Linked DNA regions of Xenopus tropicalis. The protein of the gene in region 2 purifies or fractionates together with the protein of the main gene of each other region. This does not show direct contact. Links are inferred from orthologs where the notes say so. Each region holds a gene or a part of one and is shown on either strand. Other genes may lie near its edges. The genes, in order: lgals1.1, met, plxnb1 and gab1.

What was found.
Region 1: the proteins of met (region 2) and lgals1.1 purify together in Homo sapiens (affinity purification with mass spectrometry; 3 studies listed by BioGRID and IntAct, with this or other methods). This does not show direct contact. The link is inferred for Xenopus tropicalis from reciprocal best matches to the Homo sapiens genes MET and LGALS1.
Region 3: the proteins of met (region 2) and plxnb1 purify together in Homo sapiens (co-immunoprecipitation; 3 studies listed by IntAct). This does not show direct contact. The link is inferred for Xenopus tropicalis from reciprocal best matches to the Homo sapiens genes MET and PLXNB1.
Region 4: the proteins of met (region 2) and gab1 purify together in Homo sapiens (affinity purification with western blotting; 3 studies listed by BioGRID and IntAct, with this or other methods). This does not show direct contact. The link is inferred for Xenopus tropicalis from reciprocal best matches to the Homo sapiens genes MET and GAB1.

What each region holds. Positions count from the first base shown.
Region 1 is NC_030680.2:122,666,217-122,671,685, reverse strand, and holds the end of lgals1.1 (galectin-1), read left to right. Parts: intron 1-2,265; coding exon 2,266-2,437; intron 2,438-3,526; coding exon 3,527-3,670; 3' UTR 3,671-3,921; downstream 3,922-5,469. UniProt on the Homo sapiens protein: Lectin that binds beta-galactoside and a wide array of complex carbohydrates. Plays a role in regulating apoptosis, cell proliferation and cell differentiation. Inhibits CD45 protein phosphatase activity and therefore the dephosphorylation of Lyn kinase.
Region 2 is NC_030679.2:68,199,608-68,205,858, forward strand, and holds part of met (hepatocyte growth factor receptor), read left to right. Parts: intron 1-2,106; 5' UTR 2,107-2,118; coding exon 2,119-3,300; intron 3,301-6,251. UniProt on the Homo sapiens protein: Receptor tyrosine kinase that transduces signals from the extracellular matrix into the cytoplasm by binding to hepatocyte growth factor/HGF ligand. Regulates many physiological processes including proliferation, scattering, morphogenesis and survival.
Region 3 is NC_030680.2:139,209,453-139,215,703, forward strand, and holds part of plxnb1 (plexin-B1), read right to left. Parts: coding exon 6,133-6,251; intron 5,690-6,132; coding exon 5,512-5,689; intron 5,151-5,511; coding exon 5,047-5,150; intron 4,681-5,046; coding exon 4,596-4,680; intron 3,454-4,595; coding exon 3,287-3,453; intron 1,751-3,286; coding exon 1,590-1,750; intron 1,337-1,589; coding exon 1,189-1,336; intron 1-1,188. UniProt on the Homo sapiens protein: Receptor for SEMA4D. Plays a role in GABAergic synapse development. Mediates SEMA4A- and SEMA4D-dependent inhibitory synapse development. Plays a role in RHOA activation and subsequent changes of the actin cytoskeleton.
Region 4 is NC_030677.2:59,282,843-59,289,093, reverse strand, and holds part of gab1 (GRB2-associated-binding protein 1), read left to right. Parts: intron 1-1,240; coding exon 1,241-1,421; intron 1,422-6,251. UniProt on the Homo sapiens protein: Adapter protein that plays a role in intracellular signaling cascades triggered by activated receptor-type kinases. Plays a role in FGFR1 signaling. Probably involved in signaling by the epidermal growth factor receptor (EGFR) and the insulin receptor (INSR).

The DNA.
Region 1 (5,469 bases), on a different chromosome or scaffold from region 2:
AATATTTAATAAAAAAAATAACGGGGGCATGGCCTGCGCTCGGCAGATAGAAGACATGTTCCAAGCCTTAGAACACGTCTTCTATCTGCCGAGTGCAGGCCACGCCCTCCTCCGCATCACATCCACATCCGGCATCCTTGGCACCCACCCTACCTTGCCCCTGCGATCGGCGAATAGAAGACGTGTTCTAAGCCTTAGAACACGTCTTCTATCCGCCGAGCGCAGGCCATGCCCTCCTCTGCATCGCATCCGGCATCCTTGGGACCCACCCGACCTTGCCCTGCAGCATCTGCGGCCAAACATATTGTATGGCTCTCATGGAATTACATTTTAAAATATGTGGTGTTTATGGCTCTCTCAGCCAAAAAGGTTCCCGACCCTTGCCCTAGACCAGTGCTGTCCAACTGGCGGCCCGCGACCCCCCTCTGTGTGGCCCCCCACCTGTCTGGCTGCTTTGATGGCTTATTCTTGTGTAAGCTTTAAATGGTATCAGTACTGAGATTAACTGCCCCCCCTGCATGGTTCTCACCTCAGATTCAGGCTGTAATCCCCCCCATTGTTCCCCTGTTCACACCTCAGGAGCAGTAGAAACCCACAAATAATCCCTGCACACTACAAAAAGAACATATACTGAGGTGGTACTGCAATTATAAAGTTTTTTAATATATAGTTATTGTGCAGACTGTAGGAGCAGTGCCAGCATTGTGTCACTGTAGGGCAAGCAGAGTATGGCACACAGAGGCAGGGTAGGGAAGGCAGAGTATGGCACACACAGGCAGAGTATGGCACACACAGGCCAAGTATGGCACAAACCAGCCAAGAATGGCAAACACAGTGAAAGTATGGCACACGCAGGCAGGGTAGGGAAGGCAGAGTATGGAACACACAGGCAGGGTAGGGCAGGCAGAGTATGGCACACACAGGCCAAGTATGGCACAAACCAGCCAAGTATGGCACACAGGCAGGCAGAGTATGGCAGGTTTTTGCTGTACTAAAACCATTAATGGGTATGGGTATGGTCATGTGATAACATGGGTGTGGTTTCAAGTGGGTGCAGTTTCAAAAAGGGGAGTGGTAAAAACTGGCTTCCATTATCGGCCCTCCACCACGCAGGTCAGAAAAATTCCGGCCCTCGGTACAACAGAAGTTGGACAGCACTGCCCTAGACCAAACCATGCCAGAGAAAAGCTCTTGTTCCCCATCCATCAAAATTGTATTTTAGCAGTTAGTGTTCCAACTATGCATATGCAGTTTTAGTAGGGGTGTCTGGATTCTTTTGGTTAAAAATGTATAAGGGAAAATAAATTGAATGATTATAAATGTTATGCTTAGGCTTTTGCAGTCTGTCTTCCTCTACACTGATCTCTCATTTAGTCTTGTTCTGTATGCAAGGAAATGGTCACACAAGTAAGGGAGCTTAATATCAATATACAGTGCATAGTCTGTGTGCTTTACCTCACTCCTAAACAGAAGGCGCTCGTTAATTAGATCAACAATGATTAAATAATGTTCCTAGTACTAATGAGAAAGAACAATGTTCTACCAGCCCTCTGTATAGTGATAGCCAAATGACTAAAGCTACTGTGAGAATGCCATGAGACTAGTGCACGAGTTGGAAGGGAGGGGGAATAGTGGGTCAGTGTTTCAATTGGTTCTTTTATTTGTAAAAGATCATAGGTTAGAGTCTCATTTCATTTTAAATGTTTGTCTGCATATCTGCAGAGAGGAATGTGCAGTTAGCCGTTTCTAATGCATAAATAAGATAAACATTTAAAGGGGACCTGTCACCCTAATAAATAATTCCAAATTGTTTTCTATTGTGTTTGTCAAGAAAAATCAACTTTATTCACACCATATAAATTATTTAAATCTTGTTTCCTTCAATCCTGGAATTCACAATCACAGCAAGTAGGCAGGTGCCATTTTGGACATTTTGTTATGAAGATAAGCTTTTCATCATGCCAAAATCTTGTGCCAAAATGGGGGACCTGATGCCCATGCACTGGCTACACAATGCACGTATGCCTAGCCCTATATATATATACATAGTGCTGATAGTAGGGGATACTAATAAGTTTTAACAAGATTCTGTTTTAACAATGGCCTGTCTCCTAGAGCAAATAACAGGACATGGTCTAGATTACATGAGCTCCTGCTGGGCCTTGTAAAGGCACCTAATTACTGTACTGTTTAACACTAATTATTGTACTCAATACCGTTGGTTGTACAATACTTTCTGACATGTATTTTGTTTACTTTTTCAAGCTTTGCAATAAACCTGGGAAAAGATAGTTCAAACTATGTCCTTCACTTTAATCCTCGATTTGACCACCAAGGCGACAACAAGAAAATCATCTGCAACTCAAAGGAAGAAAACTGCTGGGGGAAAGAGCAGAGGGAGACTGCTTTCCCATTCCAACAAGGAGCAGAGACATCGGTAAGCATGAGCATATGATGGTCACATGATTAATGAATATTTCTGTAAAATGGTAGGATTGGCCTCCAATCAAGGCTGTTGGAGTTCAAAATAAAAGTCCAGAATGAAATATGCTATTTGCTGGACACTCTTTGGGATGTGATGCACCCAGGTGGTTCAGAAACCTGTATAAAACACATTTGTTATATGAACTGATCATGTGACTGGTGGATTAAGTGAATGGATTGAGGCCACATTTATGGTGAATAGAATCAGGTTATTCTGAGCATATACAAAATGTGAGAGTGATCCCGTGTCCTGACTATTTTGGACGAGGTGAATGATTCTTTCCTAAATGCAAATGATATATAGCTATCTCTTCCAGAGGGCACCCCTATTAATAGTGTCTTTTTATAATAGAGGGATGAGGGGAGCCAGGTTGAGTGTATTTCTAGTGTAGAATTAGGATGAGCATACTTTATTTCCACTATGTGGGGAATACAAGAGGACATTTACAATGCATAGCCCTTATTTGGCACCTCCAGGTACCTTTTTTATGCTTGTGGTGCTCCCCAACTCTTTTTACATTTGAATGTGGCTCACGGGTTAAAAAGGTTGGGGATCCCTGTTCTAGATACTCCTGAAACCTCAGCCTGGGCTCCCTTTACAGTGAGTTTTGGGATGAACATTTCTTTTATGTTTTAGATATTTGTATCCATCATAATTTTTCATATATATGCAACCTTGTTAGCTAAGGGGGTCCATCCAAATGTTAGACCTTAAACGAGGAAATAAATCCAAAAACGCAAAAAAACACTGCTCTAAGATCTGGTAATATAGCAGCATGAGCGTGTGAAGCATAAGCAAGTAGTTAGAATCAGGGAGAGCCACTGGAATAGCTGTGTAAGGGCCAGAGTAGCACAGGGACTGAGCATTGAGAACATCCCAGTGCTCCTTGTTAAAAGGTTTAACAGCATGAGGAAGAGTATGACAAGATTTGATGATGGATTTATAGTCAGACAAGTTATCCGGCACTGTCTTTCTGAATTAAGTCAGCATATTTGTCTTTATTTGTGTGACTTACAGCAATCATTATCTCTATTTTGACAGATTTGTTTTGAGTATCAAGCAGATCATTTAAAGGTGAAGTTATCCGATGGCCAAGAATTCACCTTCCCCATCCGAATGCCCTTGGATACCATTACATTCCTCTGTATGGATGGAATAGAGCTCAAGTCTTTTTCGCTTCATTAACAGCTCTGCGGCCTCCACAGTCAATAGAAGCCACTAGGCCACATATATAACATGTCATACAGGAAATGTTCTTCGACCCATAATGCACTGTCACTGACAAGCTGTGGGGAGGACTATATAGTTCCTAGTTAGAAAATTTTCTTTCACAAAAGCTACTAAAGCTTTATGTTATCTTATGCAATATATCCTTAGCAGATCTCTCTGTACTTACTATAAACATGAAGTAATAAATCTTTGTTTCATTTATTGTCTGTGCTTGCTCTTGTCTCTTGCTAGTGTTTTCTAAACTCTCCAGGACTGACTATATGCTAAGGTTACCCAATCATGTGAAATACCTGGGACACCTCTAGATATTTCAACTAAAGGGGCTACACTGATTGTTTTTATTTTTAGGCAATTGGTTTGCAATCAGTGCAGCACAGAAAGAGCCTACATTCATTTGTCCCTGGTTTGGTAGTGTCATGATATTTTTCTCACTTAGCACCCTACTGCTCGCTGAGCACCCACAGGCACAGATCTTTGCACTTCAGAATGGAGTGCAAGGACCTGAGTCTTGCTGATGAATACAATGCTCATGAGTTTGGCAGCACTGTATTCAGGAGGGGTGGCACACTGGTGACCTCTATTCAGCCTCCTAATTGCCCCCTAACATCATACATTCAACTACATCATTCAGACATGTTATGAGGTGAATTTGGATGAATGGTGATAGGGAGCTTGCTGCCTGCCTATTTTGGGTGTTTTTGTGCCCTTAAAGGAGACATATTGGATAAATGGGAAAACCCTAATTTTGTAGGCAATTATGAATAATATACGGTGCTGGTTTCACTTTGGGCTAAACATTAACCCTATCTGTAACAATGGCCCCTTTATTGGAGCTCCCTATAGATCCTATCACTTCTCTGTCCGAGTTTGAAATGGAGAGTGGGCGTGTCCTAATGGTCCCTGCCAGAAGCACAGTAGGAGGGGGAGAGCCAATCACAGCCCTGCACTCCCACAAGCAAAGACAGGCTTCAGTTCCCTATCAGGTCAGCCTAGCTGCTGATTGGTTCCTATCCTACAGTGCAGTGTATGGAGGGCAGGCGGCTCCCCAGCTCATCCAGATAATTCAGCCAGCAGGAAATGGAACTAATGGGCGGGGCTAGTGGGGTTTTGGTGTAATTTCTCAATAAATCAGTCAGAAACACAACATTTTTAAGCACAATCTATATTTAGAGGAGTATAATTCTCTGGTACATTCTTAATTTTTATAGGATATGTCTCCTTTAAGTTATTTAATACATTATTGCAGCAACACCACCCACTGAAACTCTCAATTTCTATGAAACTTTCTGCTGCTAAAGGAGCCTTCATGACTAGGCAGCAGTTAAGGTATTTGTCCTCTACCAGAATTTAAGTTCACTTTGCTATGAGTGGGATCCTATGCTACATTATACATACAGCATGAAACTGCATTTCATTCTAATTTTGAATAATTCAGGCCTTTGCTTAATCACACATGAGGCACACTTGCACTAAATATTTCTTAAGTCTGTCTGGTGTAATTTCTGGTGTTCAGCTTGCAGATTACGTGTGCATTTTTTTAGGGATGCACCGAACCTAGTTTTTTGGGTTCGGCCGAACCCCAGAATCCACCCTGATAGATTCGCCCGAATACCGAACTGAATCCGAATCCTAATTAGTATATGCTAATTAGGATCTGGAAGGGTTAAAAAAAATTCCTTAACATTTAACCCTTCCGAATGCTAATTACCAAATGCTAATTTATGCTAATTTGGATTAGGATTCAGTTTAGCCAG
Region 2 (6,251 bases):
CCCCAGGTTACAGATTAAAAAAAAAAGTGCTTGTAGTATGCATATCTTTAGCTGCAATACTTGCCTTGTGTATCATTGAGTTTATAATGACTGTGTGTGCAGCTTTTCATTTGTTTCAGCACATGTTCATTGTCTTTGCAGCCACACCAAAGCAACTGTACATTTACAAAGTTTGAGTTGCTGTTTATATTAAAGATAGTACTACAGGTATGGGACCCATTATCCAGAATGCTCAGGACCTGGAGTTTTCCGGATAAGGGAAGATTATTTAAGAGTGCTTTTCTTCCGAAAAGGATTAATTGCACCTTAGTTGGGATCAAGTACAAGGCACTGTTTTATTATTACAGAGAAAAAGGAAACCATTTTTAAAAATTTGAATTATTTGCTTATAATCGAGTCTATGGGAGATAACCTTCCCATAATTCAGAACTTTCTGAATAATGGGGTTTTCGGATAACGGATCCCATACCTGTACTGCTTTCAATAGCCATTACTTTAGCTTAATTCTAAAACTATTAAACTTTTCCAATTCATGTATATTGGAAAGTTGCTAAGAAATTTATATTTTTTCATCATGCAAGAAACAGTTGTTGGGTGAAGTTCCCTTTTAATGACCTATTTCTCTGTGTTCTGGAACTAACTTTTAAATGGAAAGCTCTACGTAACAGGACCCCCTACCTACTGCATTGATCCGTATCTGTATGTATCTTGACTTGTACAAGGCCACAGTTACAGGTGTGGCAATCCCGACAAACGTTTGAAGCCTAAAGGAGCCTCAAGGGCACAATAAATGTAATTTTTCCATACACTTCCATAACCTTTTCCATACACTGCAAAGTCTGCTTGCCAAAGATCAGGTCACATGAGAAGAATGACAGAAGTAAGATCTCTTACACTTGCCAAAGGGGGTTAAAATGAGCTGCCAATTTCTATTCTATATGACCACCATAAAATGTCTAACCAAGGCTTATTGGCCTTTTCCTTGCCTATCTTTTCACCTAATCTTGTGAAAATATCTGTTGATATTCACTGCTCTAACATCCTTGTACCCTAGAAAAACCAACTGTATTCTCCAATGCCACCATTTCAAATAGTCAGAATTGTGTATTCTTGTTCCAGAGTATTTCCCTACTGTCTGTAGATTGCAGTTCAGTGTTCATGATTGTATTTTCTTATCTTATATAAAAATATAAGAAGAAAAATAGCACATGCTGTACTTTCTGCTGGCTGTGTAGCCAAGAGCAATGACATCAGTCTGATTCTCTTTTCAGATCATTAGATCACCAATCGCCCCAATCCCACCACAGAGACTTGCAGTGACCCCTGAAAGCATTCATGAAAATAAGCTGACAAGCTACCAAGCGATAACATACACAGGCATTTGTCATTATATATGAAAGCATTTCTTTAATAGCAACTGTTGAAAACATATATCTTGTTTTATAATATTTGTAAAAGATAGCAATTATCAAGCATTATTTCTAAACCTTATAGCTTATTTCTTGCTGTAAAATGCCTGGAAGCCAGTGTGGATATGAGCAATCTTTTGTGAATCACAAGGGTTTGCAAAAATCTTTTATCAGTTATTGTTTTCTTGTAAACAACATCTGGTTCATTACTTCTTAAATTTCTAATTGTTGACTTTCTTTGATAAGTTATATTTAGCTCAGTAACAGAAGAGCACAATTAGCAGAGCAAAATAATATATGACTCAGTATATATTTGTGGCAATCAGGCCTGGGTAGCCACAAGTCGTTTACCCTATCCATCACAGGGTCTAAATGTCATGCTACTCGTCATTCTGTACCACATCAAACCCCTCCATTGTTAACCATTATAAAGGAAATGTGCTAGTTAGTAAAGCTGGTCAAGGCACAAAGAAAATTGCATTTTTTCTTTCTTACCTTGGAACCCCATTGTTTCACACTCCATTGAAGCTAAATATACTTATTTTTTAAATGGAGGCTAAAAATGTTTAAGTGGACTACATCTTTTGTTAGTTATTATTGTATTTGAAAGTCAGCTTCATGACTCTGCTGTCTAGACATGAGATAGTCAGGGCTGAGTTTAACTGTTTTAAGCCCTTTTCCTTCTTGTCTTTTTCAGGTACATGCCAAGATGCTCGTGGCTGTTCCTGTTGCTTTTGTGTTCCTAAGCTTGCTGCTGAAATGTATGGGACAATGCGAGGAAGCAGCCAAAATGGCAGAAATGGATTTGAATATAAAGCACAACCTCCAGAGTTTCACTACAGATACACCAATACAAAATATTATCATGTTTAAGGGCTACATATATGTGGGAGCAGTGAATAAGATTTATGTCTTGAATGAAAATCTTACAAAGGTTTCTGAGTATAAAACAGGTCCATTATTGGTACATTCTCATTGTTTGCCATGTAAAAACTGCACGGATAATTTTCTGTCCCCAAATGGCACCTGGAAAGACAACGTTAATATGGCTCTGTTTGTGGAGGATTTCTATGATGACCAGCTCATTAGTTGTGGAAATATACGTAGAGGTGAATGTCAGCGTCATACTTTGCATTCTGATAAACCCTGGGATATAGCAAGTAATGTTCATTGCTTATATTCATCACAAATGATAGAAGATAAAGACAATTGTCCTGACTGCATTGTTAGTACAACAGGAAGCAAGATCCTGGTAACAGTGAGAGACAGGTTTGTAAAGTTTTTTGTGGGTAGCACACTAACAGGACAACCTTCGACGATTCATTCTGTGTCAGTGCGTAGACTGAAGGAGACCCAGGATGGCTTTGAATACCTCACAGATCAGTCATACATAGATGTACTACCCCAGCTCAGAGATATATATCCCATTAAATATATTTATACATTTGAAAGTAACAATTTTGTTTACTTTTTAACTGTACAGCGAGAGTCCATTGACTCTCAGGCCTATCACACTAGAATTGTGAGGGTCTGTTCTTCAGACTCTGAGTTGCGCTCCTATATTGAGATGCCCCTGGAGTGTATTTTTACTGAAAAACGAAGAAAAAGGTCTACCGCTGGTGCAGTTTTTAATATTTTACAAGCAGCATACTTAGGCAGAGCTGGTGAAGATTTGGCAGAAGAGATGGGCGTCAAACCAGATGATGATATACTTTATGCTGTCTTCGCCCAAAGCAAACTTGACTCTTCTGAGGCAAACAACAGGTCAGCTGTCTGTGCTGTGTCTGTGAAAACCATCAATGAATTCTTCAACAACGCTGCAGACAAGCAAAACACCAAGTGTCTTGAGCATTTTTATGAAAAAGACAACAGATTATGCATTAACAACAAGGTGAGTTCCAGAACTTGACCAAATTCATAGCTAACATGTATTAATATTATATTATACTGTATATTGTGGCCCCCAAGTTGTTCAAGAACTCTCACCATCACTAGACCCAGTGTTATTAATATACCTTTATTATTTCAGATGTGGGATTAAATTGATAACCATGATCTGGATAGAAATGCAATTGCAAGCTATGAGAATGAATTAGGTCCCTTTATCAGGCATGGTATAATACAAATACAAACGTGTGTATGTATGTGTGTGACAGTACTCGAGCAGGTACACACCAATAAAACACTGCCCTGGTACTAAAATAAGTCAGCTTAAAAGCAAAAATGTAAATCATTGAGGCAGGGATGAGTCTTGCATATGCAATTGTGCAATATTAAAATGCTGTTAATTACGTTGATATTTTCACAGGCACTTTGACCTTCTGGTCCTGAGAAAAAAAATGTTGACTTGATAAACAGCATTTTGATAATTCACATATACAAAACTATTTAATAGTGCCACTGGGACTGTCCCATTGATATAAGGATCAGTGGAAGTTATTTAAGAACAATATGCATTGTGTTGATTTAATCTGTTTGATGCAATTCGATTTTTGCCTTAAAAAAACAGAACCAGTAGATTCTTCTTGTTGAATAGTTGCTATAGGTTAATACCCCAACTCATTAAGCAAAACTCCTCCATGATAAGGAAATAGTAGTGTGCATTCGAAGAGAAAGCAGGAAGTGAAAGATTAGTGCGACAGGGAAATACTTCCCTCATTTTTCTGGGTAATACAATAGTATGATAGGTCATAAAATGCTGCCTGTTTAGTGTTGTAACCTAGTTCAAGTTATTACAATTTGCTGTATAGTTGCACATTTCCATGCTACAATATTCATAGCATGATGTCACCTCTAACATGACAGAAAATAAAAGATATTATTCAATAAAAAGATCTGAAAACCTTTTCAGAGCCAAAACAAAATCAGGCGATGACAAAACAGTATCATTATGGTCGGCAGCTGCTGACTTTGGGGACAATAATTTATTTACTGACAGATAATGTCTCAAGGGAACACAAGGACAGAAAATTTATAATAAGGATTAACCCTTTCAACTGAGACTGTTCCCTTTCAGAGCACTCCAGCTGTCACATTAATCCAACCTCTTTGTGGTACTGAAGTTACATGTGACATTTCAAGAGTTGACAGAGCATTTGATTAAAGTTACATGATATGAATAGTGTGTCAACTGTGTATCTCTCATCAGTAACAAATTTAATAAGCACATTTTCAACCCTCTCTGTATGTAGAAATTCCACATACACACATACGCACCAATGACTGAAAACAGACGCAGGTTTTCATGGCCATTGAGGTGTTGTATTGTCTGTAGGTGCTGACAGACATCCATTTTAAACGTAATTCCTATTCTCTCCATAAAACATTATTGCAGTTTTAGGTTTTATTGAGCAGAATATTATGGCAGGGTTACTTTCTCTTAAAAACATTTTGCTTTTCTCGAGTGAGATTTGCTTGATTTTTTTAAATCTGATATGACAAATTCCTAGATGCACAAATCAGCAAGGTTGATAAATTCCAGATGGAAGACAGCCAAAAACCAACTGTTGTTGATGTCAGTCATAATATCCAGAGATTACCGTTAAGATAGTTTTTTTTGTTATACTGTGTATTATTTTAAATATATGTAATATTTTTATTTACATTATTTTTTTCAAACACATAATTGCCCTAACACATTCATTGGATGGCACTGTCACTATTAATAATGGATTATACAGACATAATATAATCTATCAATCCATGGAAGGCAGATTGAGACAGTTGTGCCCCAGGGGCTCTTAGCAGAAGATACTGTATGTATGGTTTATCTATTGTCAGTCCCTAAAAGAAGCTCAGTCCCATTGTACCTGCACTAGCTTTATATAGCAAATGAATAGATTATTTCTCCTGGAACACCAAATTTATCATATCATATTAGTGTCAAACATGAACAAACTAAACCAGAAAGGAAAACCCTCAAGTGGAAATACTCTGAAATATGAATCAACGCCACATAGCTAGTTTATTTATTGATGGCTATCAGTCTATACAGTTCTCCTTAGGAGGGGCCATAGTGACATGTTTGACATCTCTAACATCTCATCTTATGATCTAACTGGCTATGTGCCTCTGATTCAATTGTAAAGTAGCCATTTTCTACATAAACACTGTCCATAAAAACATGTAATTCATTTTTTACATTTGTTATAAGTAATAAACATTTCCAGAAAGGTGCAAACACATGGGGCCACTTATTAACTTACTCCCTGGAATGCCAGTCCCAGTAAATAATATAAAACCTTGCTAGTGTCTAGATAGACTGAGGTAAAAATATATTATGGCCATGATTATCTTGTATATGGTATCCTTATAAACAGTGCTTAGTAATATCAACAGCTTTGAATGGGGCTTAATTATGTAGTTTCTTTCACATGATGCACTGAAACTTCTTAATTGTAAAAAATAATCTAATCCCTGTTGTAAAACATTAAAACCTCAAAGATTAATGCTATGTTTAAGAAATGTGCATTATTCCCTTAAAGCTTGGGTCATCTTTCTGCCACTACTGCTCTCTTACTAGACTTACTTACTATAGCGCATTTTGCACCTGTTATTAAATCATCACCAAGGTGTTTTCATACTGGCCACAAGGCATAGAAGGGAAGTTAGCACTGGATCACTGGTATTGGGGCAGCAGCCCTATGATTTTAAGTGAGATAAAGCTCAACAAAGAAATAGTCATGTTATACCATAGGGCTCATTTTAAAATGCTTAAACCTGCAGGCCTCTGCTTTCCATTTTGGTGTTAGGCCACACTAGATTCAAAAGGAGGTGGGTGAGGGGGAGCCATGTAGGTGTCCTCCCCTACATTTCACATCATTTTGAGGTGCAAGGTAGGAG
Region 3 (6,251 bases), on a different chromosome or scaffold from region 2:
TTTCAGTATACAGGTATGGGATCTGTTATCCAGAAACAAATTATCCAGAAAGTTTCAAATTATGGGAAAGCCATGTCCCATAGACTCCATTATAAGCAAATAATTCTAATTTTTAAAAATGATTCCCTTTTCTCTGTACCTCTCTGTACTTGATCCCAACTAAGATATAATTACCCCTTATTGGGGGCAGAACAGCCCTATTGGGTTTATTTAATGGTTAAATGATTCCCTTTTCTCTGTAATAATAAAACAGTACCTGTACTTGATCCCAACTAAGATATAATTACCCCTTATTGGGGCAGAACAGCCCTATTGGGTTTATTTAATGGTTAAATGATTCCCTTTTCTCTGTAATAATAAAACAGTACCTGTACTTGATCCCAACTAAGATATAATTACCCCTTATTGGGGCAGAACAGCCCTATTGGGTTTATTTAATGGTTAAATGATTCCCTTTTCTCTGTAATAATAAAACAGTACCTGTACTTGATCCCAACTAAGATATAATTACCCCTTATTGGGGGCAGAACAGCCCTGTTTGACCAAAGGTATAGAGTATTCTGGATAACAGGTCCCATAACTGTAATACACTGATCAAAATAACAATTGAATCATTAGGAAAAACCTCCAAGCCTCACTTTCTGGGCCCTACCAACTGTATAATAATAACAAATGTGCAGTGCCCATGCCTGGGTTATTTTCATATTTTATTTCCATGATTAAGCAGATAAGCCAATAGAAAAGCTTGGCCCATTTGTCACCAGCACCAGTTGGAACCTCCACCCCAAGTAAATGAATCTACTCTGCCCTTAGTGTCTAACAACTGTCTGTACATGGGCTAGTCTCTTTCACATAGACTGGTCTTGGGCCTAAATGATTGCCTGATTGCCTGATTTCTGGGGATTGGAAAAGCAGGGTGAAGGAGCCATGGCCACTAGGGGGAGCTCTTGCTTCATGAAGTGCTTTTGCAGGCCATTGACTTGGAGAAAACCTCCAGAGGCCCCTTAGTTGGGTCAATGAGACAGAGTGAAGCCCAAGAGAATTACTGGAGGGCTGCAGGATGGACATCCCTAAGGTATAACAATATCCATTGCACAATGTCCTTTGTACTATTCTCACAGCACAAGGGGCACCAAGTTGAGCGCAACTGAAATATAACTGGTTATGCAGAATTAACTCTCTCCTTACCCTTCCTAACTTGTGATCAGCGATAGTGCAAGAATCCATGAAGGTTTGTGCAATGACCGACAGCACGGCGTCCACGTTGTCCGATGTCTGCACGTCGCATACAAACTGGGGGTTTTTGATGATGTTGATCCAAAACCTCAATGGCAAACTGCAAACAAAAGAGACAACACATAAGAATTACACACAAATCTACTGGTTCCTATATAACTGCATTGAGTGCCTGGATCTAGAAGAGTCCTGATTAGAATCTAGAGTCCAGCTTGTTCTGCCATTTTCCCCTTGTAAACAGGTCACATGACCAGTGCTGAGGTTCCTGGGGACCTGCCTATTGCAGCCCACAAGGAGCCGCCATCTTGTAGCTGAACAGTTCTGGGGCACCAAAGCTTCCATGTAGCATTTACCTGTTTGTTTTCCATATGTGGATGGTCTCTGGGTCGTTGATACCATGGCTGATGGCCTGCTCATCCAATAGATCGAAGAAATACTTGACAGCGAGGGGAACGGGCCGGCTGGTGCTGAGTATCACCTGGAAAAGGTCGTCCACAAACTTCTGTAGAGTCCCCTGAGAAACAGCAGAAATCATGGAAATAAATATTAATGTGTGATACCAGAGGGCACTTTGCGGTGTTTGGACCTGGGCAGTCCAGCAGATGGCGCTCCAACAAATGGCAAAGTACATTATAGTGGCCAAAAATAGAGACAACAAGTGAAACCCAAATTCCTACCTACTTTCTAAAGCCCCCATTTGGCAAAACAAATTCACTCTATGGTACATCATGGACATTGTTCTATTTATCTTTATTTCTTCATTAAAGTTATTTTTAGATGCTCATCCCCATTAACCAGAGTAGATTACGAGGGCATAGTATGCACAGAGCATTCCCTCGCTTCCTATCTGAATTTACACATCTGAGAGAGCTGCCACGTTGCTTGCCTAGGATTGGGCATTCCCTGTGCAACTCCAAACAAAAGAGCTTCTAGTGATCATAAACAGATGGAAATATTGCTACAGAGTCATCATTCCGCACTCACTTTAGTTACATTTCCAGAATGTGCTTCCAGGAAGAACCTGGGGCTGATACATTAGAAGGTGATAATCCTTCCAATCAGAGCGACCACTCCAGTTACTATATGATTGGGTCGAGTAGGGACTTCTAGCCGTTCAGCTGCTGCAGCAACAGGATCCAGCACCCCCATCACTTGAAGCTTTGGTTTCCCGCTGTAGCCTGACAGCTCTTGGATCAGTTTCTCATGCCCTGACCCTGAGGGCTCAAGTGTTTGACTTCCTCCCTGCTGTATGTACTGGGCCTTGTTCTTCCTACCTCCTCCTCATATTATACAGATATATAATATATACAGACTCCCAGCCTATCAATCTAAGCAATCAACACCATCATTCATTTTAGCACTCGGGTTCTCTTCCTGGGCATCATATTTCGTTCCGCAATCTCCTTCATCCCGTCAAAGAAAATATTCCCAACTCCTCCTAAAAACTGTCAGATTATTAGTAAGTATCACCCAAAATGCCACAAAATCATGGCAGCCCTTGTTTGCAGGCCTCCAGTTGATCGCCTTTTCATCTAGATTGATTAAAAATACTGCAGCCAGTCTTTATTTATTTCACCCCAATCGGACCTTCTCTGCTACCCCTCTCAGCCCTTAAACTGCCCTGACTGTAACCTCTATGGAGTTGCATCTAAAGGTGTTCAAAATAAAAAGAGGCAAAACAAATCCCGTCTTGGACCAACTGCACCAAAAAGCACATTAACCATTTACATTCATTATTCTATTTTTTTGTTTTCATTTCAAAATATTAAGACACAAGTGCTATTAGTATGAATACATTTTGTCACAACAGTGCCACCTGCTGGTCAGTTTCTGTGATCCAGTTGAGGAAATTGAGAAAGAGAGGGGCGGTCTGATGTTCTTCTGGTTAGGAAAGATGTGAGGAAAAATTATCTGAGGTTTCTAATGTTTTCCCCAACCAGAAGAACATCAGACCAACCCTCTTACTTTCCGTGACATCCCCAGACTGCGCATAGAGAAAGAGCACATAAATGAGACCGCAGGCAGATGAAACCATCAAACGTTCTCTTACCTTCATTGAGAGCAGGCGAGTCAGGTAGATTTCGGGAATAGCTTTGGCACGCTCTCTGTCTCGTAGACTTCCCCGTCTGTGTTTCGGAAGTTCTGGTTCATCTGTCGGTTTAACGAGGTGCCAAACCCGTACCCCACCCTCGTCTGAATCTTCCAGCATGGGGGTCTCTGAGAGAAAAAAGAGGGAGCAAATTTGCTTTTGTCTTTGCTCTTCAAAGCAGCAAAATCTATCCCTTGCCTGTGACACAATATGGAGTCTGAGCTTTCAGAAGGAGCCTGCGCTACACATTGTTTCTCCTACTCCTACCCATGTAACTGGAGGAGTCCCAAGCCGGACTTCTTACTATTGAGGGCTATTCTGATACCTACTGGGAGCTGCTATCTTGCTCCCTTCCCATTGTTCTGCTGATCGGCTGCTGGGGGGGGGGGATATCACTCCAACTTGCAGCGCAGCAGTAAAGTGTGCCTGAGTCTGAGCTTTCAGAAGGAGCCAGGGCTACACATTAGAACTGCTTTCAGCTAACCTATTGTTTCTCCTACTCCCATGTAACTGGAGGAGTCCCAAGCCGGACTTGGATTTCTTACTATTGAGTGCTATTCTGATACCTACTAGGAGCTGCTATCTTGCTCCCTTCCCATTGTTCTGCTGATTGGCTGCTGGGGGTGAGGGGGATATCACTCCAACTTGCAGCGCAACAGTAAAGTGTGCCTGAGTCTGAGCTTTCAGAAGGAGCCTGCGCTACACATTGTTTCTCCTACTCCTACCCATGTAACTGGAGGAGTCCCAAGCCGGACTTGGATTTCTTACTATTGAGGGCTATTCTGATACCTACTGGGAGCTGCTATCTTGCTCCCTTCCCATTGTTCTGCTGATCGGCTGCTGGGGGGGGATATCACTCCAACTTGCAGCGCAGCAGTAAAGTGTGCCTGAGTCTGAGCTTTCAGAAAGAGCCAGGGCTACACATTAGAACTGCTTTCAGCTAACCTATTGTTTCTCCTACTCCCATGTAACTGGAGGAGTCCCAAGCCGGACTTGGATTTCTTACTATTGAGTGCTATTCTGATACCTACTGGGAGCTGCTATCTTGCTCCCTTCCCATTGTTCTGCTGATTGGCTGCTGGGGGTGAGGGGGGGGGGGGGATATCACTCTAACTTGCAGCACAGTAGTAAAGTGTGACCAGTTTGCTCTTTTGAAAAACAGATTTCAATGTAGGATTCACTATTAACTGATGCATTTAGAAACAAAACATGTTTTCCTGTGCCAAAAGCCCTTTCAGCCTGCTACAATAAAACAAAACCACCAACTTACTCTCTCCTGGGATGTAATCGTGGTTTTCTGGGTGGATGTGCTTGCTCAGACGGGGCACCAAAGCCACTGTCGCTCCATCTGGAACCTGCACGAAGCAGAAAGTTACTTACATATGTTGATTAGGGAATAGCAAATAGAAAATGAGGAATAGGTAAAGAATCCTGAGCACCAATCACAAACTTCTGTAACAGGTTTTGGACAGAATCCCTGGCCCCTGTGGTCCCTATCATTACATATAAACAGAATGCACCTTATCTTTTAGAGAGGTTAAGGAAGGGGATTTTTTTTAGCCCTCAAACTGCCAGTTCAGATACTGAGGGGGAACATGCATGTACTAACATAAATATAAATCCCTTACCCACTGGTTAGGGGGGATACAGTCCCAGTAATGCAGTAGGTTCTAGGTGTTCTAGGTGCTACAAGCAGAAGACCTCCCTGTGCAAAGTCTCACCTTGTAATGTTGCAATGTGTTCACTCTTTTCCACGACCCATGCACCACTGACGTCAGATCTTCATCGGAAAGTATCAGATGACCGGCCAACCCTGATCTCCATTCTGCCAGGGGGAACGGGAGGAAAGGGTGTAAGGATGGTTATAAGCTGGTAACTGTTGGGACAGCTAGGAAAACAAATCCCCCTCCCGATATCAGGGCTGTGGAGTTGGTACATAAATCCTTTGACTCTGACTTCAAATCCAGGTACCTAAAATTGCTTCCGACTCCGACTTGGCAACTCTGACTCCATAGCTCTGCCAGATATACCATTTCTCTCTGCTTTCAAGTTGATGGCTGTAAGAGGGCGGCTATCAAAGGCTGAAGGCATTATTTTATATAAATAACGGTGCCACTCATAGTCTGTCTTGCCCTGGGTTCCAGCACTACTAAAGATTTCCCCTCCCTATGGACAACCTGACTTACCCAAGTCTAGCGCTTCGGGGTTTGGTCGATTACAGTACGGGGTTCCCTTGTATATCTGGTCAAGGATCTTTTCTTTCACTTGAGTGATGGTGTCGCAGTCGAGCAATTTCACCGGCAACCCTTGTGCTTCCTCTTCACAAGTGATGCCCGTGTTGGTTTGCATGATTGCATTCAGCGTCTGGGAAGGAATAATGTTTAAGTGCACCCAAAATGTCATCTACGTACCACTGGAAAAATTCACTATTTTACTCTGAACTAGCAACTTATAGGAGCCAACCAGCTAGAAGCTCAGACCAATCATCTGACGTAACATACATGAAAACAAAAATATGCAAAGGAATAGAAATAATGACCCCCTTCCCCCGCTGTTTATTAATTCCCCACAAGTGTAAGTGACATAAGGAATTAACTTTATGCGGATACTCAGGGAATTTAGTGACCTTGCTGAGAAGACCATGTTGGATTAGACACTTATCTATGGCCACCATCAGAATAGATTTGTGACTTAAGGCCCAATAAAACGATTGGGACAAAGGGGACAAGATACTGCTTACCATGGCCCCTACTTTGAGCACAGAGCACCCTTAATGTCCACAATAGGAAGCCACCCCAACAACTCACCAGAGTTTTGTATTCTACATCATCCCTCAGGAGGCGGTTGTCATTCAGAGTGTACTTAGCCTTCCCCGTCACACAGTCCACTGGTCCTTTATCCACCTGGTGCTTTATCCCACGGAACA
Region 4 (6,251 bases), on a different chromosome or scaffold from region 2:
ATTAATGCTAAACAGGTTTTGGAGCAACAAATGCTGTCATCCAGACAATGGCATGGCTCTGCAATAATAGTGCATATCCTAAACTGATCGAATTCAAAAGGAGCATACATATATATAAAAATATATACTGTATATACTCGAGTATAAGCCGATCCGAATATAAGCCGAGGTACCTAATTTTACCTAATAAAACTGGAAAAACTTATTGACTCGAGTATAAGCCTAGGGTGGGAAATGTGCAGTTATTCTCGAGTATATACAGTACATAAAATCTTATTTTCACACAAGATTGCATAGCAATAGTGTAAAAAATTGTATAGTCTACCCCCCCACGCAGGAATCATACACTACACTGAGTAGTATCAATGGAGGGTACAACAACTGAACACAATAATAAACTCAATCAAATACCACTCTGTAAGTAAAAGATGCACAACTTTATTTCAGTCCATTAAAACGCAACACTAACCCCATATATATTATTTTTAAAAATAATTGTTATTAAAAGCAAAATATATATGTTCTTATCTGTTTATGTACAATCACATCTGGTTCTGATTATCAAAAATATGTGTTCTCCAGGCCATTATGCCAACTTCCACAATCACCACTACCCATCCTCTGCATACCTCTTAATCAGCTGCCTTCTGCTTCATTTAGTTTTCAGAATTAGCAGTGCTAAGAACAAAATAAGTCAGAGCCAGTGAGTACTTCTGCATAAGTATTTCTCCTTCCCGAGCGCAGCCCTGCCATGCATCGCCAGAACGCACATTCAGCACGTGTAGGGCACGATGTGTGCCGTCCGGCGCGATCTGGCGATGCATGGCAGGGCTGTGCTCGGGAAGGAGAAATACTTATGCAGTAAGGGGGGGGGGGCGCACGGCCGGGAGAACGTAACTACCGTATATACTCTAGTATAAGCCGAGGGTGCCTTTTTGAGCACATTATTAGTGCTCAAAAACTCGGCTTATACTCGAGTATATACAGTATAATTTTTTTTTTTTTTTTTTTACGAAAACAATAGCATTTCACAGTTAAGGATGCACCAAACCCAATTTTTTTGGGTTCAGCTGAACCCCCGAATCCATCTTAATGGATGCGGGCCAATACTGAACCGAATCCTAATTAGCATATGCTAATTAGGATTTGAAAGGGCATAACTATATGACTTTTTTTTTTTGCTTGTTGTTTGTGTAGTAAAATATAATTTGCCTTTTTTTTTTTTTTTTTACAATTGCAGATGTTGTAAAACCTGCTGTTAATTCAGAACCTTCCAACCAAGCAGCATTGGTCCAAGGCCCTCTACCTCCCCCTTACCAGCTTATAAATATGCCACTTGTGGAATCCTCAAATAGCCAAGAAGATCCCCAGGACTATCTTTTACTAATAAACTGCCAAAGCAAGAAACCTGAACCATTGAGGTAAGCATTTTTACTTTTGCTGTAAAAAAACAAATAATTCCTTTTCTAGTGCAAAGGAATTTTTTAATACTTTCTTCATTTAGAGTACCGTATTTTTCGGACCATAAGACGCACTTTTTTTCCCCCAGAAGTGGCGGGAAAAAGTCCCTGCGTCTTATGGTCCGAATATACTTTAAAAAAATGTTTTTACTTGCCCGTGTGGTCTCCGTGCAGGGCCCTCCTCTATTCACCGACGCTTAGCTGTGGCGCTGTGCGCATGCACAATGACGCGCATGCCCATACGCATGCGCGTCATTGTGCATGCGCACCGCGCCACAGCTAAGCGCCGGTGAATAGAGGAGGGCCCTGCACGGAGACCACACGGGCAAGTAAAAACATTTTCTTAAAGTATATCTGTAGGCTATATGCTGGTACAGATGGGGGCAATATGTTGGGTGCTGCTGGTACAGGTGGGGGGCAATATGTTGGGTGCTGCTGGTACAGGTTCGCTTTTAATGCACATAAAATATTTTAGGACAGTATTTGTTTCAGAATCTTTTTTTCTTCATTTCCCTTCTCTAAAAACTGGTGCGTCTTATGGTCCGGTGCGTCTTATGGTCCGAAAAATACGGTACTTTTTACTACATTTCCTTCAGTTTTTCAGAATTTTTCTCTCATCATGTTAACTGACATTTTTGAGGAAGCGAGTACATAGCATCCTACAACAGAAAATGTGCTTATATGATTAATTATTTTATACACATTCATTCCTTTTTGTTCTATAAGTCTGCACATGGAAGTATATATATATATATATATATATATATATATCTATATCCTTGAGAAAGGTCCTAATAAGGACCGAAACGTTGGTTTTAACAATATATTTAAAATAAAAAATTTTTGATGAAACATTGAAGGGTGTGCTGGCCACAGATGATTATTTTCTATACAGACATAATTTTGGCTATGCACCCCGCAGAATATTGAGCCTTGGAGTGCGGACACCATTTGGATTGATATATATATATATATATACAGTGGAGGAAATAATTATTTGACCCCTCACTGATTTTGTAAGTTTGTCCAAAGAAATGAAAAGTCTCAGAACAGTATCATTTCAATGGTAGGTTTATTTTAACAGTGGCAGATAGCACATCAAAAGGAAAATCGAAAAAATAACTTTAAATAAAAGATAGCAACTGATTTGCATTTCATTGAGTGAAATAAGTTTTTGAACCCTCTAACAAAAAAAGACTTAATACTTAGTGGAAAAACCCTTGTTTGCAAGCACAGAGGTCAAACGTTTCTTGTAATTGATGACCAAGTTTGCGCACATTTTAGGAGGAATGTTGGTCCACTCCTCTTTGCAGATCATCTCTAAATCCCTAAGGTTTCGAGGCTGTCTCTGTGCAACTCTGAGCTTGAGCTCCCTCCATAGGTTTTCTATTGGATTGAGGTCCGGAGACTGACTAGGCCACTCCATGACCTTAATGTGCTTCTTCTTGAGCCACTCCTTTGTTGCCTTTGCTGTATGTTTTGGGTCATTGTCGTGCTGGAACACCCATCCACGACCCATTTTCAGTTTCCTGGCAGAGGGAAGGAGGTTGTCGTTCAGGATTTCACGATACATGGCTCCGTCCATTTTCCCGTTAATGCGAATAAGTTGTCCTGTGCCCTTAGCAGAAAAACACCCCCAAAGCAAAATGTTTCCACCCCCATGCTTGACGGTGGGGACGGTGTTTTGGGGGTCATAGGCAGCATTTTTCTTCCTCCAAACACAGCGAGTTGAGTTAATGCCAAAGAGCTCTATTTTGGTCTCATCAGACCACAGCACCTTCTCCCAGTCACTCACAGAATCATTCAGGTGTTCATTGGCAAACTTCAGACGGGCCTGCACATGTGCCTTCTTGAGCAGGGGGACCTTGCGAGCCCTGCAGGATTTTAATCCATTGCGGTGTAATGTGTTTCCAATGGTTTTCTTGGTGACTGTGGTCCCTGCTAATTTGAGGTCATTAACTAACTCCTCCCATGTAGTTCTAGGATGCTTTTTCACCTTTCTCAGAATCATTGACACCCCACGAGGTGAGATCTTGCGTGGAGCCCCAGAGCGAGGTCGATTGATGGTCATTTTGTGCTCCTTCCATTTTCAAACAATCGCACCAACAGTTGTCACCTTCTCTCCCAGCTTCTTGCTAATGGTTTTGTAGCCCATTCCAGCCTTGTGCAGGTCTACAATTTTGTCTCTGACATCCTTGGACAGCTCTTTGGTCTTTCCCATGTTGGAGAGTTTGGAGTCTGCTTGATTGATTGATTCTGTGGACAGGTGTCTTTTATACAGGTGACTAGTTAAGACAGGTGTCCTTAATGAGGTTGACTAATTGAGTAGAAGTGTCTAACCACTCTGTGGGAGCCAGAACTCTTAATGGTTGGTAGGGGTTCAAAAACTTATTTCACTCAATGAAATGCAAATCAGTTGCTATCTTTTATTTAAAGTTATTTTTTCGATTTTCCTGTTGATGTGCTATCTGCCACTGTTAAAATAAACCTACCATTGAAATGATACTGTTCTGAGACTTTTCATTTCTTTGTCATTGGACAAACTTACAAAATCAGTGAGGGGTCAAATAATTATTTCCTCCACTGTGTGTATGTATATATATATATATATATTATATATATATATGTGTATGTATATATGTGTATATAATATATATATATATATATATATATATATATATATATATATATATATATATATATATATATATATATATATATATATATACATGCATGTTGGTGTTAGGTAGCATGTTTTCTATAATAAATACAGCGGATGCACCATTCTGTAAGGCTTCTGTAAGCATTATGACCATATAAAATGTCTTGTGCTTTTATAAAGTCACAGAACTCAGACGTGACTTCTAATGTCCTTAATATGAAATATATTTTCTTGATTATCTATGTGTAACATTATCAAAATATTGTTAAATGGTGTCACTCCTGTATAGTGCAGAAACTCTTTCACCAACTCTTTTCATCACTCTGCCATCTCTTCAGACATGTGGTCCCTGTCAGTTGCTATATTTTTGTTTATTTCAATAGAATAGCCACAATAGTGCAAGCTAGAACGCTATATTTATTCTGTAGAATGCTTTTTAATACCTGAGTAAACAACCTTACAAACTCTCTCTGTGTAAAATAGCAGCTGCAATTTTAGCTTGGTCTGACATCACTTCCTTGCTTGCATGTCTGTGCTCTGGGCTCAGATTACAGCAGGGAGGGGAGAAAGGAGAGAGGAGCAAGCTGTGCATGCCCAAGCCCTGGAGGTTTGAACTGAGAGAAGGAAGTCTAATACAGAGAACTATATGTATATAATAGAAGGCAAGAAATGCAGAGCAGCAATACTGTGTGTATTTATATAGACCATAGCTTACTTAGTTTTAACCTTTCCTTCTCTTTTAATGTTCTGCACAGAATGTAATCTAAGTTTCTCTAGTTTCAGAGAGGCAACATTTTGAATGTAGTTTCTTCCTGACCTGATGAGTTTGAAAGCTATAACCAAAATAGTCATTAAACATATAGCTTTCCCCATTCTCTCAAAATCCAGGGTTCGGGACCAAGCAAAACAGTAGGTATACTTGCATGCCAAGAAATACAAAGTTAGGTATTTTTTTACTTTTCATGGAGATGAAACAAAAGGGCATATAACAGCATGCCATCAAGAACATTGGAAGACTTACTTTATATTTAATTTATTAAATTAGTAAAACTACGGCATACTAAAAATAATAGGAATACATTGTTAGATTCCCTATCATAAAGCACAAAGGGATTTCTGCTGTTTGCCAGAAAGAAAATCCAACTAGGCATGGGAACACCAGAAATGGATTGCCCTATGCAGGCAATGGAACACAGTGCATTGGGTTTCAAAACCAAAAAAATCCTACTGATTTGTTATGTCAGAAATTTCATGTTCACAATCTTTGTTACTGTAATTTATATCTGCAAATCAGGCAAGGGGCCTCATCTTTAATATCAGAAGATGACTATCTACTGCTTGAAGATTTTGAAAGCAAAAAGATCTCATGGCAGTGAGTGTATAGTGGCCAGTCTATCAGCCAAGATAGTGCTGGACTTTGCATGGTCTGTGAGTGTGTATTTGTGCGTTATTAATTAAAACTTATATCTGAATGTCTTGACTCGTCTTGACTAATTTCAAGTGAGATTTGTAGTGTTTTGTCCTCACATTCTGAAAGCTTTGTAAGTGGAGTATACCAATCAGATGTTGATCTGTTGGTCACGAATAGTTAAACTTACAATTAAAATGATTAAATCGCTTTAACTTTTTGAGTGTTCCTCATATCACTTTCATATATGAACAGTTGATGTCTTGCCAGTTCTCCAGGGAACATGGTGCACCACCATAAAATATATCAAATGAGCGTGCAGGTCAGAATGTGTACAGATAATGGTTTTGAAGGGGCGTCATATCATTCATTTAATGAATAGGGCTTGTATTGAACACACTTTTTTTTTTTTACCTTATGTTTTAAATATAGAATATGCTGGGGTTAAATTAAGTTGTTGTCATGGGTTCAACTGCTAAGGATAAGTTGAACAGTGACAAATACCCAGCAATCTCTGCTGGGTATTTGGAGAGAACTGGTGAGTACCTCTTAACCGTGATTCAATTTCTCAGAGCAACTTAGGGTAGTCCTACCTTGATCCAATATTATACACCAAAGTAAAGCTACAGGTATGGCCATTCAATCAGAATATAGGCTTTTAGCTCAACAGCATTACTCAATATGAGTACAAGAAATTGTATGCTCTTAAAATGTTTAGTAT